Lepisosteus oculatus: one gene and its partner. The protein of the gene in region 1 binds, or shares a complex with, the protein of each later gene. Links are inferred from orthologs where the notes say so. Each region holds a gene or a part of one and is shown on either strand. Other genes may lie near its edges.

Region 1 (7,068 bases):
AAAGTAATATTTATCTGTCTGTGGAAGTCTGTGCCTTATTTCTTTTCCTTGCCACAATGCCAGGAAAACAAATCAAATGATCCACTTAGTTTTAACTCCATACCACAGGAGTCATGCTATGTAGTATTTTTTAACATTTATATTTAAGCAAACACCCTGCACTGTACCTATTTAATTAATTACAATCGGAGTTGGAACGTGCCTAATTTTGTAACAATATGAAAACAGGAGTATCTTTTTCAGATAAAGCTGGATTTTAAATGCCTTGTTTCTAAATTTAACCAGTGACAGTAAAGTAAGATCTAGTATTTGACCACAACTAGACACTTAAAATAAAGATGAACAATTTCATTTGAAATAACTTAAAATAAAGACGGAAAATTTCCTGATGTTTATTTACCTGCCATGCTATTTTGAGTGTTAGACAACAATTATAAATTAAAACATTAGTTTTAAAACAAACCTCCATAGCTTTTTCCTTCTCAAGAACATCTTCTAATCTTGCAATATAAGACTTTTTGCAGCATTATAAGTTATATACAGTATGTCACGCTGCAGACCACAGTATTCCCATGAGTGATCACATTCCTCCAGGGGCTCCTATTCGAATACATACCGACCATCTGTCTATTTGTCCCTCCCCGATCAATCAGAAACACAATTTTCCAATGAATCAAACACAGCCCTTTCTATAAAACCCTTGAAACGCCACTGGAAAGGTGCTCTGTCATTGAATTAGCTGAGCCAGTGCAACGCCCTACTCTGCTCCAGTAGATGTGCTAACCAACGAACCAAGAAACCCGGACCTTGAGACCTGAGACCCAAACCCTGCTTGCAGCCTGTTCAGCCAGCACCTTTACTGTGACATCTTTCCCTGCCTATTTTTGTGTAGTTCCAGTTCCTGTTCATCTTCTCCCAGTCAGCCATTCCCAGTATCTCCTCAGCTAACTCCGGCAGCTGCTGCAAATCACCAAGTACCTGCAATTGGATTCCCTGCCCATCTGTGAGACGTGGCTGTCAGCAACAGCAAGCCAGGTCCTCGTTTTATAAGGTAATTATTAGATAGTGCTCCACTGAACAGATTCAAGATAGTAAAGTCAAATTCATGGAAACCTATATTTAGGAAAGTTAAAGGCAGAATGCTTTCAAGTGTTTCAGAGTCCTGAATCGATTAATATGTCAAATTAATTTCTTACCTGTCCAAGCTCATAGCTGTCATGATTGCACTGCATGTCATCTGGTTGCAGGTGTCTAGTGATGTAATAATTGTGCACAGAGCACTGCCAAACACCCACTGTCCTCCACGTGCCCACTGGTGAATCAAGAAGGGCATCACTACCACATGAACAAGATCGGCCACTGCCAGGTTACAGATGTACACATCTGGGATTGTCTTTTTTGTTGACCTGAATGAACCACAGATAAATAACGATTAGAAACTATTACAGTAAATGCGGACAGTCATCAGCAGCCTCTAAAAAAATCAGATTTCTCCCCACAACATCAAGCACTAACATATACTGTACAACTGCAACTATGCATATAACAGTAAACTGAAGGATGTTGCACTGGCATTTCATCGGACAGTAACTGGGTCATTTCTGGAACAGAAGCTCTCTTGATGTATATGAGAAGAATTGATAGTCTTTTCATAGAGAGTAATACAGTATATGTATAGTTTCTGAATTGTATTTCTATGTCTGATAATTGAGAAATGCATCAATTGCATCAATTCTACATACTGATGTAGAATGCCAGGTTTCTGAGTATTGCTTTCCATACCTTGTGATTGTGACCAAGATGAAAATGTTTCCAACTAGTCCAGCACAACATATCACTCCAATGAAGGAAGGCAGAACTATGGTCTCTGCAGCATGATGAAAGTCATAGCCACCCACTCCAGTCTGCCAAGCACTGTCCAAGCTTTTGTTCGAGTTGTTCCAGCATGGGCTGTCAAACTCATTCATTTTTCATAAAGATATAATTGTCTTTTAAATAGAAAAAGAAATAAAGTATGACAACAAAATAACAATATTGAAATAATAACAATCACCGGAAAACATACAGTATGCCAGATTCATTAATCTGTCATGAATCCTGTCACGAAACCTGTCATATTCTACTATGGCATGATTTTCATCTTTAGGGTTTCAAGTTTGCCATTTCTTTCATTCTAAAATGAGGTATAGTAAATGAGATAAATATTTCCAAGTGATGATGAACAAATTAAGAAAGGTCCATACAGAGATTCAAAGACACAAAATAGCCTTTATAGAAATGTCTGCTAAGGTGAGCTACATGTATATTCCTAATTTTGGAAAAACAGGGCAATCTTTACATCAACTGCTGCTGTTAGCGATGCGGAATTCGGTAGGTGTTTAACCCTTTGAGCCACAGGCCAGATCGATTTTCTTTTTTTGTGTGCAGAATAACAAGAAGTTATTGTATATTGTATAACTGGAATACCTATAATGAAATAAACCGAACATAGAAAATATTAAACTGATCTCAATCATCATAAGATACACCCCCGCAAATTAAACCAACACACAGTAGATTAAACATACAGTGCTTATATTAAATTAATTAAACGCGAGTCGAAATTTGAATATGCACTACCATTATTTTTAAAATAGTTGTTATACAGTACGTCCCGTATACAGACCACAGATTTTTTACTACTATGTGTACTTCATCTACAGTATACTGTACGTTGTCCGCACCAAACCTTTATAAGGTCTTCATGGAGGACAGCTCCACTTTGTGGAAAGTTTAAATTGCATTGCTTATCTTATTTACGTTATTAATTCTGCTCAATTTGTCGCACACAATGCTAAGATTAAGAAAAGCTATGTCAACTCACCGAAAGCCTAAAATGTTTAACAGGTCTCAGTCGTCTTCTGCACCTTTTTGGTATTTGAACAGCCAGGAGAGTTTGAAAAGCAGAAAAGACGCGCACGAAAACGTATTGTCCTATTCTAACGCACATCGATAATATATTTTGTTGCAGTCGGTTAAGTTCTTTTAAAGAGTGATAAAGCGGCTACCGGTTATCGCCACAGTAATGTTCATCTATCTGAACCCTGTAACGTCAGTGTTTGGACAGACGTGTGCATCAGAATCAATTGGGTGACAAGGTTATTCCTACTGCAGTACGTCCTTTATACAATAGGTGAGCGGTATCACTCAAATGTGTTATTCTAAAATGTATCACGCAGTGTCGTTATCGATCTGTTGTAGACTATCCCGTTGGTTTAAATGTTATCAGTAATGTTTACTTAATAAACACGAATTGAGAAACAAAAACGACAAAAGTACGAACTCACCAGTTACTCAAGTGATGACTGAATCGCTTTAGGTGGATAGATCGCATTGGTTTTCTGATCCTACTGAAGTGCTCCTACTTCGTGTTGGATATGTTACTAACCAATGCTGTGTAATTTTCCTCTTCTTAACATGATCAATTCGACACAATGTGCGTAGCATGGCATTTTAAAGAAAATTGTACTATTGGAGGTCTAGAAAAATTAATTACTTTAACCTGAAGATTTCCTTTTTGCACCTTTCTCCATAAAATATTTTCAATATTTTTCTCTTACTAATAGCGCAGAAACAGGTCTTGTAGTTAAAATTCCCCAATCTGCAGCAAACTAATAGTCTAAATTGCAGTGTGGTCTCTGATAGTTATGCTGTACACTGTAGGGAGAGCACGTAGAGCCTCTGGAGAAAAACCTGTTTTAACAATAAAACGGGAGAAAGCAGAGGATCTTTTCACTTAAGAGATATATGATATTTTTGTGTAATGTAATGGCATGGGAAATGTTCTTCCTTATTTTGTAGACAACACATACAGTATATACAAAAATGGCCAAATGCAAAGAATAAATTACATTCGTTCTGCTTCAGGAGTACGCTATGGAAAAACGGATATCTGACGCTTCTTATTTATATATTTTTACTTTTGTAGTCTTTTTCAGTAGTACAGTATGTATTGTAATACAGCACTTAATCCCATTTTCTATAATCGCTAGATTGTGCATTGGTTTGCTTACTTTTTTACTAAACAATTTCTGTACCACTCTACAATTTCCAGTTTTCTTCGGAGTTCAGTACTGTTTTCAGCGAAATTAATTTTAAATAAAGACGTCAATTTGGATGGATAGATGGATCAGGGTTCAGTATTGGTTTTGTCTATGATCTGTTTAAAATCAGAAGAAGGTGGTTACCTACTGCCCTACTACTTCTATATTATTTTATTCTAGGTAAGGTAGCAACTGTGTACAGTACTTAATCAAGCCTTACAGTATGTAACGCATACGGCCCCTGCGCTGTGGCGAGATCTTTGGCTCACCGGGCTGAGTGACGCGGGAGTCCCGGGTTTGAGCCCACGACGGTGCGGGACCGACCCACTGCGGTAAGGGCGCCCACCTGAACCCCCGTTGCGTTACACTTATCTATAACACATAGTAAAGCAAGACTATCTATGAACTCTGCAAATGGAAGATGACAAAAAAGGGATACTGTGCCATTTCCCCCCAAGTCTCTCTCTGTGATCTGAGTGTTTGCATGCATGTCCATGGATAATAAGCAATTTAATATGCTTATTTTTTCTCTGTCTTCATAATTTTCAAACGTTTTAGCTGTCTTTGTAGTCCTAGGAGAATTCCTCTGAAATCAGTGAATGAAATCGCGTGTTGAAGCTAAGGTACTGCTTTTGAATGCTTAATGAGTTAATTGTCTAGCACGATTTGTAACCTTGTGATTCCAGAAATACTTTATATGTATATTTATCCTGCAAGCAATACCTTTATTAACATTTCATATAATCAAATTCTTACATTTTGTATCAATATTAATTAAGAATAACAACGGAACATTAGACAGGTGTATTGTTCTGAGATCATCTGACCCTCTATAATTGCACACAGCCAGAGGCCATTTAACTAACTGTAAGACTTGTCAAAGTAATTGTGCACCAACCTAATTTCAGTTTGCCACAGAAAAGTAAGTGAATACCTTTACAGTCAGTACTGTCAGTAATGCCCAAACTTAGGTTAGTTAGTTGGACCCTATGCGTGGCCAGAGAGGCGGTTGAATGAAAATCCGAAACAAAGCAAAGGTATCCAGATCGTTTGTCAAGAGCGATGTCTAGGACACAAAGCTAAGGTCGAGAGAGAACTAGAAATCAGGATTGAAGGGTAGAGTAGCTCTAGCTGAGAAAAGTCTCAGTGGTGAGTGAGGACGGATTTAGGAGACAGGGTTTAAATAGGAAGGAGTGTGGTATCAATTAGTACATGAGTATGTGCAGTGCAGAGTGCGTGTGGGTATGTGGTGGTGCGATTTGTGACAAGTACATTTTCGTTTTTCATTGTTCATTGCAGATTTTGCTGAGATTTAATTTACACCTATACAAATTCAGTTTCAACATGCATGTTTTAATTAGAAAATGTATATGACATCATTGGAAGGGGCTGATTATTTTTAATAAAAATATTTTATAAATACCATTCAAAAGGTGCAGTGTTAGGAATACTGTCAGCCAAATGCAGATATCAATTGTAATGTACTAAATAATGAGATCCGAAACGTGTAAAAAAAGAAGAAGTTATTATGGGAGTGTTTTGTTTTCCTCACATAGACTGGGAAAACCTGAGCACTCCTGGAAAGTGAGTGGATTGTTCTGCCAGTTAGATCACTACATTGGTATCCTGATCTTGTATATGTTTTTGGAGGTCTTGGAATTATGGACTGAAACTGTGTTGTTGTTGTTTCTGTCAGCAGTGTTTCAGTCTCAGATAAATTGTCATTGTGGGTAGGTCTGGTGCCACAGTTGACCTTGTGATATCTTTAACACAATCAAATTTGGAGCATGCTGTCAGATTACTGTTCCTCTGATGCCTTTGTCAGAATCTTAACATCATCTCTATCTTTCAGCTGTGACAGGGATCTTGTACCATGTCTCAAATTGTACTTTTTTAGCTAATGGCAGAGGGACCCCATGTTTTTTGTAGCATTTGGCCGTCTTAACTCACAGTTCCTCATAGGTAGGGTCTTTAAGAAGCTCACTGCGGTTTTCGTCCAATGTGTTCTGCGCTGCAGGGAAGCTTTAAGCTATTTGGGCAAGATAGATGTTGGTGTGTTCTGCAGGAGCAGGGTCTATATCAGTGAAATTGTTGGAACATGGCATCCTTAACAGCATATTTGTCTGTGAATGATTTCCCAGTCAATGGTCAATGGTGTATGAGAATACCATGAGCCGCATTCTGAATCTTTGTAGTTGTAGTGGTAGATCAATCGAATGTTTAGTGCTTAGTTAGTTCCCAGGTGGCTTGTGGACTGTCTGAAGAAAGAAAAGAAGTCAGGCGAGGTAACACTGAATCTTCTGCATGGCCCCACAAGTGGTAAAGTCTCTTTCTGTATTTCTCAAAGAGCATATCACTGCTGTGTTGGAGTCAATGTTCTTGACACATACAGTACAAGGTGTGCTGCTGTTTTCCAAGTCCCATTGTTGTTTTGCATGAGGATACCACCTAAACCAATGGATGACGCATTTGCTGCAACTTTAGTCTCCTTGGAAGGGAACAAAATTCTAATGTTGGGGGTGAGATTAGTTTAAATTTTAATAATAATAAGTGCTCCTGAGGTACAGTATATCCCAAGTCCAAAGGTTTCTTTGTGAAAGAAGGTTATACTAAGGTTTAGTTTTCTCTGCTATATCACTAATTAACTTTCCAAGCTTACCGTGGCTTCCAATGCCATGAAAGCTGCACACTTCAGAAGCATTGGTAGGCTGTTGTATGTTCTGGATTCCAGCCAATTTATCTGGGTCTGGCTGAATGATTCATTTGCACCTGGAAAAGGTCAGGAGCAAATGAAATTCCTACAGGAGGTCTTTTGAAGGTCTGGTGCCCATAAAGTGTGATGAATGTTGTCAGCTTTGGAGACTCCTCTGTGAGGTGGACCTGCAAGAAACCTGAATTTGCCACGAGCTTGGTGAAGAGTTTAGCTCTTCCTATCATGTCCAATGTGTGGTCCACACATGGAGGGAGGAATTGTTCTTGTCTCATA
Region 2 (6,179 bases), on another chromosome or scaffold:
ACACCTCTAGTATAGCAGAAAACGAATTAAAACCATGTGATAATGTAACTGTAGGCTTTGTGCGCTGGTGGTTAAACGCTCTGCCTGGACAGTTGGGAACTGGATAGAGACGGATATTCCCTGTGCAGTTTATTGCTGAACAGCCATATTTACACCTCCTGCGTTCTTCCCTTCTCTGTTCCTGATATCCTCTCTTTCCCAGGCACGTTTTCCCCACAACGAATCAGAACAGGACCTAAGCTTACAATAATGATCACATATACCCTTCACCGATAATCTAATCAACTCACACCACCATCTAATCTATTTACAACGATTAGAGGCTGTTTTGCGCCTCTAGTGGCAGGACAGCTGTAACAACAGCCTCCTCTTAGGCCAGCTGGCCTCCCACAGCCGTCACGAAATGTTATTCGAGTTAAATATTGTGAACCAGATACTAAGGTTGACAAAAAAAAAAAGCAAAAAAATGTTTTTGGGTCATAAGAGAGTTCAAATTAGATGACCGATGTAAGAAAAGTATTTTTCTTTTTACAGAATGCAGTGCAATATATGTTTACTGCCCCAACTGTACGCTTTTCAAGATGTCATTATACACTTATAATACACTATATAATTTTGTGTTGGACTCAGGGCAAAGATCACAGCCATATCATATACTGAGGGCAAAGGTCATAGCCATTTGGTGGAGTTAGATATGCGGATGTATTTTAATGACTTCTCCTGCACTATTGATTTTTCTTCTGGGTCTGATGCCCTTAAGAAAGGATCCCTTTTGTTTCATGAAAAACGTCTAACAATGTCATCACACTGTTCTTCAGGCAGCTCACCAGTTTCGTAGACTACAAAATACTCAAATAGGAACAAGAACTTCAAGACAAATACTACACTTTTCATTCATTCTGTATCTCCTGTATCAGGGGCCTCCAGGACAAATGAATGTAAGCAGTTCCTGTGACATTAAACAAACATTAGTTAAAGGCCTGGAGATTCACATTCCCATGTATTTCTGACGGTACGAAAAGCAGAAATGAAAGAAAAAAAAAGACATCTAAAGAAGGCTGCAGTCTTGTCCATTTGGAGAGGAGAGGAAACTGACACAGGAGAGAGAGGTTAGAACAACAAATTGAGAAGTAGAGAGGTTCACATCCAGTTACTGGAACACACTACTCCCAAAAGGCCAGTTCAGTCCTTCAATAGAGCCCATCGCCCTCCAACACAAATATGGACAAAATAAAGGCACTGGTATCCAAGTAAAATTACTTCAGCTGAGTTAAATGATTATTATTCATGTAATATTTCTCTTTCTCGATGCTATAGCTTCTGTGATGGTAATAAGGTAAGTCTCTGTTGTTTTCTTTAGAACAAGAGAGTCTGGGGGAGCTGGAAAGCTGTGTCAATACTTTTTTATTTTCTCAGATAAAAAAAAAAAGCATTTCAACTCATTCATCTCCATAATTGATATCCATAGTTAGAATAAGTGCAGTGCCCGCAGGAGAGGTGAATATCAGACAGTACAGTACAGCTACCACTCTGGTCCTGACAGCCTTACAGATTTCTCTCAGCCACCTTCCTCAACGAGGCACACATCAGTGAGTCTCGCCCGATATGGAAGCTACTTTGAAAGCCTGTATAGTTTTCTATCTCATGTCTGAGGATCACAAATTCTGTCACCGAAGATTCTTTGCATCAGATGATCCAATTGAATTATGGGCGTATTGGATCGCTCAGCCAGCAGCCATTTCACCCTGCAGCTCGCCCACTGGAGCTCAGCAGGGCTGAGCCTGGACAGCACACTCACCCTGTGGTCTATGGGAGTTTTAATGCCCAGGGTGTACCCGGCCTTGTGCTCGTTGCTTGCCGGGTAGGCTCCGGCTTCCCGCGAAACCGTACGGTATAAAGCAGTTCGGTAAATGACATGACATGGATCGTTCAGTGAGCATTTGGCAATTACTGCACGATTGTTGTAATGCCCAGTGTAGTGCTCTGTGCTGTGTATTCAGCACTGAGCTCATGTTGGCAGGAAGCCCAGGTGCCTTCATCCCAGTCCTGAGCTCTTACAAGTGTGTCTGCTACAGCTGGGGATGCTGGGAAGACTAGACACCAGTGGCACCCCAGCGGGAGATACCCATCATGCCAGGGTGGCGATGTGTGACTGCTGTGGTCTCCATCAGGCTGTCCGTCACAGGCTGACCCAGTCTGTGAATCACAACTGCAGCCAGGATACTGTCCACCCATCTACGTCAATGCCTCAGCATCCCAACGTCACAACATTTTGACTCAGCCCAGCCCAGCCTGCTCATTAGAGCACTGGCTTTTTGTCCTCAGAGGCCAGTGCATACACACAGCTGCAGTAATAAGCAATCATCCTACTCGCATCTATATTTGCGGGTCTTAAAACTATTCTGCCAAGTGTGGGGTGTCACAGATATGCAAGTGTCCAAGTTGAGTTTATACGTTTAGCAAACTGATTATTTGGAAATGAAATGTATGGATAAGCTGTGAACACATGGCTCTTTTGTTGTGTTTATGAGTCCTGCTGAAAGGATGTGTTTGCTCTCGAAATGTAAATGGAGTTCGTCAGGAGTGTGCGGGAGGAATGGAGGCAACCAAACCCCCCTTCCTCTCCGCTGCGCTAACTTGTAATCCCGCATGACGTCACTTCCTGACATGCTATAGAAATGACAGCAGCCCCCTCCGCTGGTGCTGCTCTCCCCCACAGCTCATTTCACTCTGCAGGGGCTCCTACCCTCCTCGTCCTATGGGGGCCGAGTCTCGCCCAAGCGCGTCGAGCCAAAACTCTCCACGCCTAACCTGTCCAATAAACACGCAGGACGCGGTTTCCAATTGGGCGCCGTTATTCTTCGGATATCGGAATCTACGTTTGGGGGTCGGGGGGGGGGGGACTGTAAAACATAATTTGTTCACACAAAGGGAAACTGAACTGCGACGCATGAGCACCTGCAAAGCTGAAGCTGGCAGCGTGAGAGGGCTGGGGTGTAATTGGAAATACAGGGCAGTCCAGGTTCTGGAAGACTGGTCTACGCCAACGCCAGCCCAGCTCATTATTGCAAGAATGGCTTAAGGGACTTAAACCTGCAGACCTAAACCTGGCTCTCTAAGACTGGGATTGCTTGTCCCTGGCCTAGATCTCTGTGATGATCACTTCAGTTCTTCCATGTGCTGCTTGGATAGCAAATATATCCAGCCAGCCCCCAGTCCTACCTTCCAGTCCTGGAGGGTCAGTGTGTCTGTAGCAGGGCTGTCCAGTCCCGGTCCTGGAGGGTCAGTGTGTCTGTAGCAGGGCTGTCCAGTCCCGGTCCTGGAGGGGTCAGTGTGTCTGTAGCAGGGCTGTCCAGTCCCGGTCCTGGAGGGTCAGTGTCTGTAGCAGGGCCGTCCAGTCCCGGTCCTAGAGGGTCAGTGTGTCTGTAGCAGGGCTGTCCAGTCCCGGTCCTGGAGGGTCAGTGTGTCTGTAGCAGGGCTGTCCAGTCCCGGTCCTGGAGGGTCAGCGTGTCTGTAGGTTTTCATTTCAACTCTAAAGAAACCAAAAAAGCCAAACTAGTTGGCTACTGGCTTCTGGACCCATAGAGCAGCTTCTTCCAGCCCTTCAGGTGCCACTGTTTTAAACAGACCAGACCAGTGTGGGCACCCCTGCTCTATGTGAACTCATGGAAGACAGCCATCATCACTAACAGTTAATGAGATGTGTCCTGCTATCACAAAGAACACAACCCCAGCCTTTGGCCTTCATGTTTGAAAAACAGAGAACGGAGATCGCATGACTACAGCCAGTCTTGTGATTGCAGAAAACATCCTCATGGCAAACACAAACCTAAAGTTTGTGATGAAGACTCCAAATGTTTCCTTCATCGGCAAACCAATGCATTGCCAACAGGGCAATTTTTTTCCAACTTCTTTTCTTTCTGAAAATGAAATGCCACATCAAAGCAAGGTGGCAGAACCATCAGGAGGCACACTGCACACTTCAGTGTCGGTGAGGGAAGCGGGTTTAAGAGATACAGCACACTTACTGCGACTTTCTTCTTGCAGAAGAAAAGAAGTCTATAGTCCAACCTTTCTTTCATTCCTCACCAGCTGATTAATTCAATCAGAAAAAACACTTCAAAGATAATCTTTAAAATTAGATTGCCCAGTGTACTGACTACTACAATACCACCCCACTGTGTAATTCTCATTGATTCGCAGACAACTTCAACCACCTTTCTGTGAAGCTTAACTTATTTTTACCAGGATGAAAACAAACCTCATTCAGGGGTCTCGCACCTTTAATCATATCTGACTCACAAAAAGGCTGTTCAAAGTTAGACGTCACCTTATTTCCACTTCTCTTCTCCTGCCACCATATATAAAGGGATGGACAAACCTGTGGGATGCAGTCAGTCAGGGAAAGCAATTGATTAGTTGGGTTTCTATGCGAACCTGTTGAACCTGAATCAAGTCAGAATGAGTTTCTCGGCATACTCCATTTTACTGGCGGTGGTGCTACTTTTTGAATGCCACACAGACTCAATAGCAGTATCTGCTGCCAAGATCGAGGACTCCAGAATGCTGAACGATGCCTTCAGCCACGAGCCGTTCCTGAATGAAGAGGTGGTTGATAAGGGCATCAGCACCGTGCCATCAAACCGCTACCTGGCCCCAGAAGGCACCGTGGGAAACGAAGGGGGAAACTCAAAGATCTTCATTTTCACAGTAAGTCTCTCCTTGCTCTGCCGAACAGCAGGCAGATTTATTTTAGCATTTCGTCCTATGATAGGAACAGATGTTTCACTTTGTCAAATGCTCAAAATGTCTACCACTCTACTAAGAATATCACAAACATGAGGCATGGTAACTGTGTATCAAAACCAGTCACCTGCAGCCGCTGTAGAAAAGAGAAAATTTTATTTTCTTATATTTTATATATATATACTGTATGTATGTATGCTTTCTGCCAGAACAGTTTCCCAGCTCACACCGTCTTACAGGCTGTAGCCTTCATTTCTAAGTCTTTTTGACCTTGACCGCGAACAGGACTTCGGCATGAAAAAGAACTACAGAGGTCTCTACAGACCTGCCCTGTCCATGGATCTGCCGGCCAGACAGCTGCCCTACTACACCGTCAGAGAGCTGGATGCAGAGCAGCCAGAGAAAGTCCAGGCCTTTGTGAAAGAGGAACGCAGGGACACCGAATCAGACCTGAGCTCCAGCATTCCAGTGGGCAGAAGAGACTTTGACAGTAAGCTTGTGCCAATACTTCTCCTGCTCACAGAACTTTAACATGTACATTGTTGTGATTTATTAGACCTATGAAAATGTTGTTATCTCCATTTTAAATGTAAAGACTATTTTATTTTTTAGCACAAAGAGAAAAAAATAGATGCTGGCGATTGCCCTTGCACATGGGTATTGATGATCAAGTCCCGTCTCTCTGGTTTTCTTCTAGTGCTCAGATGCATGCTGGGAAGAGTATACCGGCCATGCTGGCAGGTGTGAGAGCCGAGGGCCAAGAGCACCCCAGCACTGCCCATGCTCCACCCGTGTCCCACCACGCTGCATTGCTCGTTACGCTCAAACTGTTTTATTATTGCAATACACTGGAAAATGTATAAAATGTTTATTAAAATGATCTGAGAACCTGAATAAAAAAATGTTGCAAGCCTGAGAATCTGAACGTGTGACATGTATACCTTCCAGTTCATTCAGAACAAGGGTTACAGGTGAGAGGGGACCACTCGACTCCTCCAAGTCATTTGGTCATGATAACCAAAACAAAAAGGACAAACGCACAAACTGGAGCACGAAGCTGAGTTTTATATGTATGTTTTCCTTCACTTTTTATTTACATTTCTCCTTCTACCATAAAGGCAGTATACATAAAAAAACAATGAGAAGGTTAAAAAAAGAGAGCAGATGGATATGACATCTCTAAGGAAAGATTTTGCTTGCCAATGCTAGCCCAAAATACAAATCCAAGTCATGATGTGGACTCATTTCTGGGTTAATTCCACCCGAGACAGAAATGTGAACTGAAAAAGAAGTCAGCGCATTTAAACCCTCCTGAATCCTAATGAGAAGTTCGGTAACCAACCTGGGAGAATATGAATCAGGGTGCACAACATTATCCCTTTGAAAACAGATTAGCAATCGCGATGTCTGGGGTTGGTCCCGTCAGTCCACTG

Evidence for each region.
Region 2: the proteins of mchr2a (region 1) and pmch are in contact, whole or in part, in a cryo-EM structure (PDB 8WST), measured with the Homo sapiens proteins. The link is inferred for Lepisosteus oculatus from reciprocal best matches to the Homo sapiens genes MCHR2 and PMCH. Residues at the interface, in NP_001035269.1 of Homo sapiens: His82, Gln92, Trp93, Gly96, Gly97, Thr110, Asp113, Gln117, Ile175, Phe177, Val181, Ser183, Cys184, Ala185, Phe186, Leu188, Thr189, Ser190, Pro191, Val194, Tyr197, Thr198, Tyr267, Gln271, Asn274, Met277, Glu278, Gln279, Pro280, Phe284; in NP_002665.2 of Homo sapiens: Leu151, Arg152, Cys153, Met154, Leu155, Gly156, Arg157, Val158, Tyr159, Arg160, Pro161, Cys162, Trp163.

What each region holds. Positions count from the first base shown.
Region 1 is NC_090697.1:31,637,177-31,644,244, reverse strand, and holds the start of mchr2a (melanin-concentrating hormone receptor 2), read right to left. Parts: upstream 3,017-7,068; 5' UTR 2,864-3,016; intron 1,989-2,863; 5' UTR 1,968-1,988; coding exon 1,783-1,967; intron 1,407-1,782; coding exon 1,197-1,406; intron 1-1,196. UniProt on the Homo sapiens protein: Receptor for melanin-concentrating hormone, coupled to G proteins that activate phosphoinositide hydrolysis.
Region 2 is NC_090702.1:54,817,949-54,824,127, forward strand, and holds pmch (pro-MCH), read left to right. Parts: upstream 1-4,396; 5' UTR 4,397-4,461; coding exon 4,462-4,710; intron 4,711-5,031; coding exon 5,032-5,236; intron 5,237-5,443; coding exon 5,444-5,493; 3' UTR 5,494-5,665; downstream 5,666-6,179. UniProt on the Homo sapiens protein: MCH may act as a neurotransmitter or neuromodulator in a broad array of neuronal functions directed toward the regulation of goal-directed behavior, such as food intake, and general arousal. May also have a role in spermatocyte differentiation.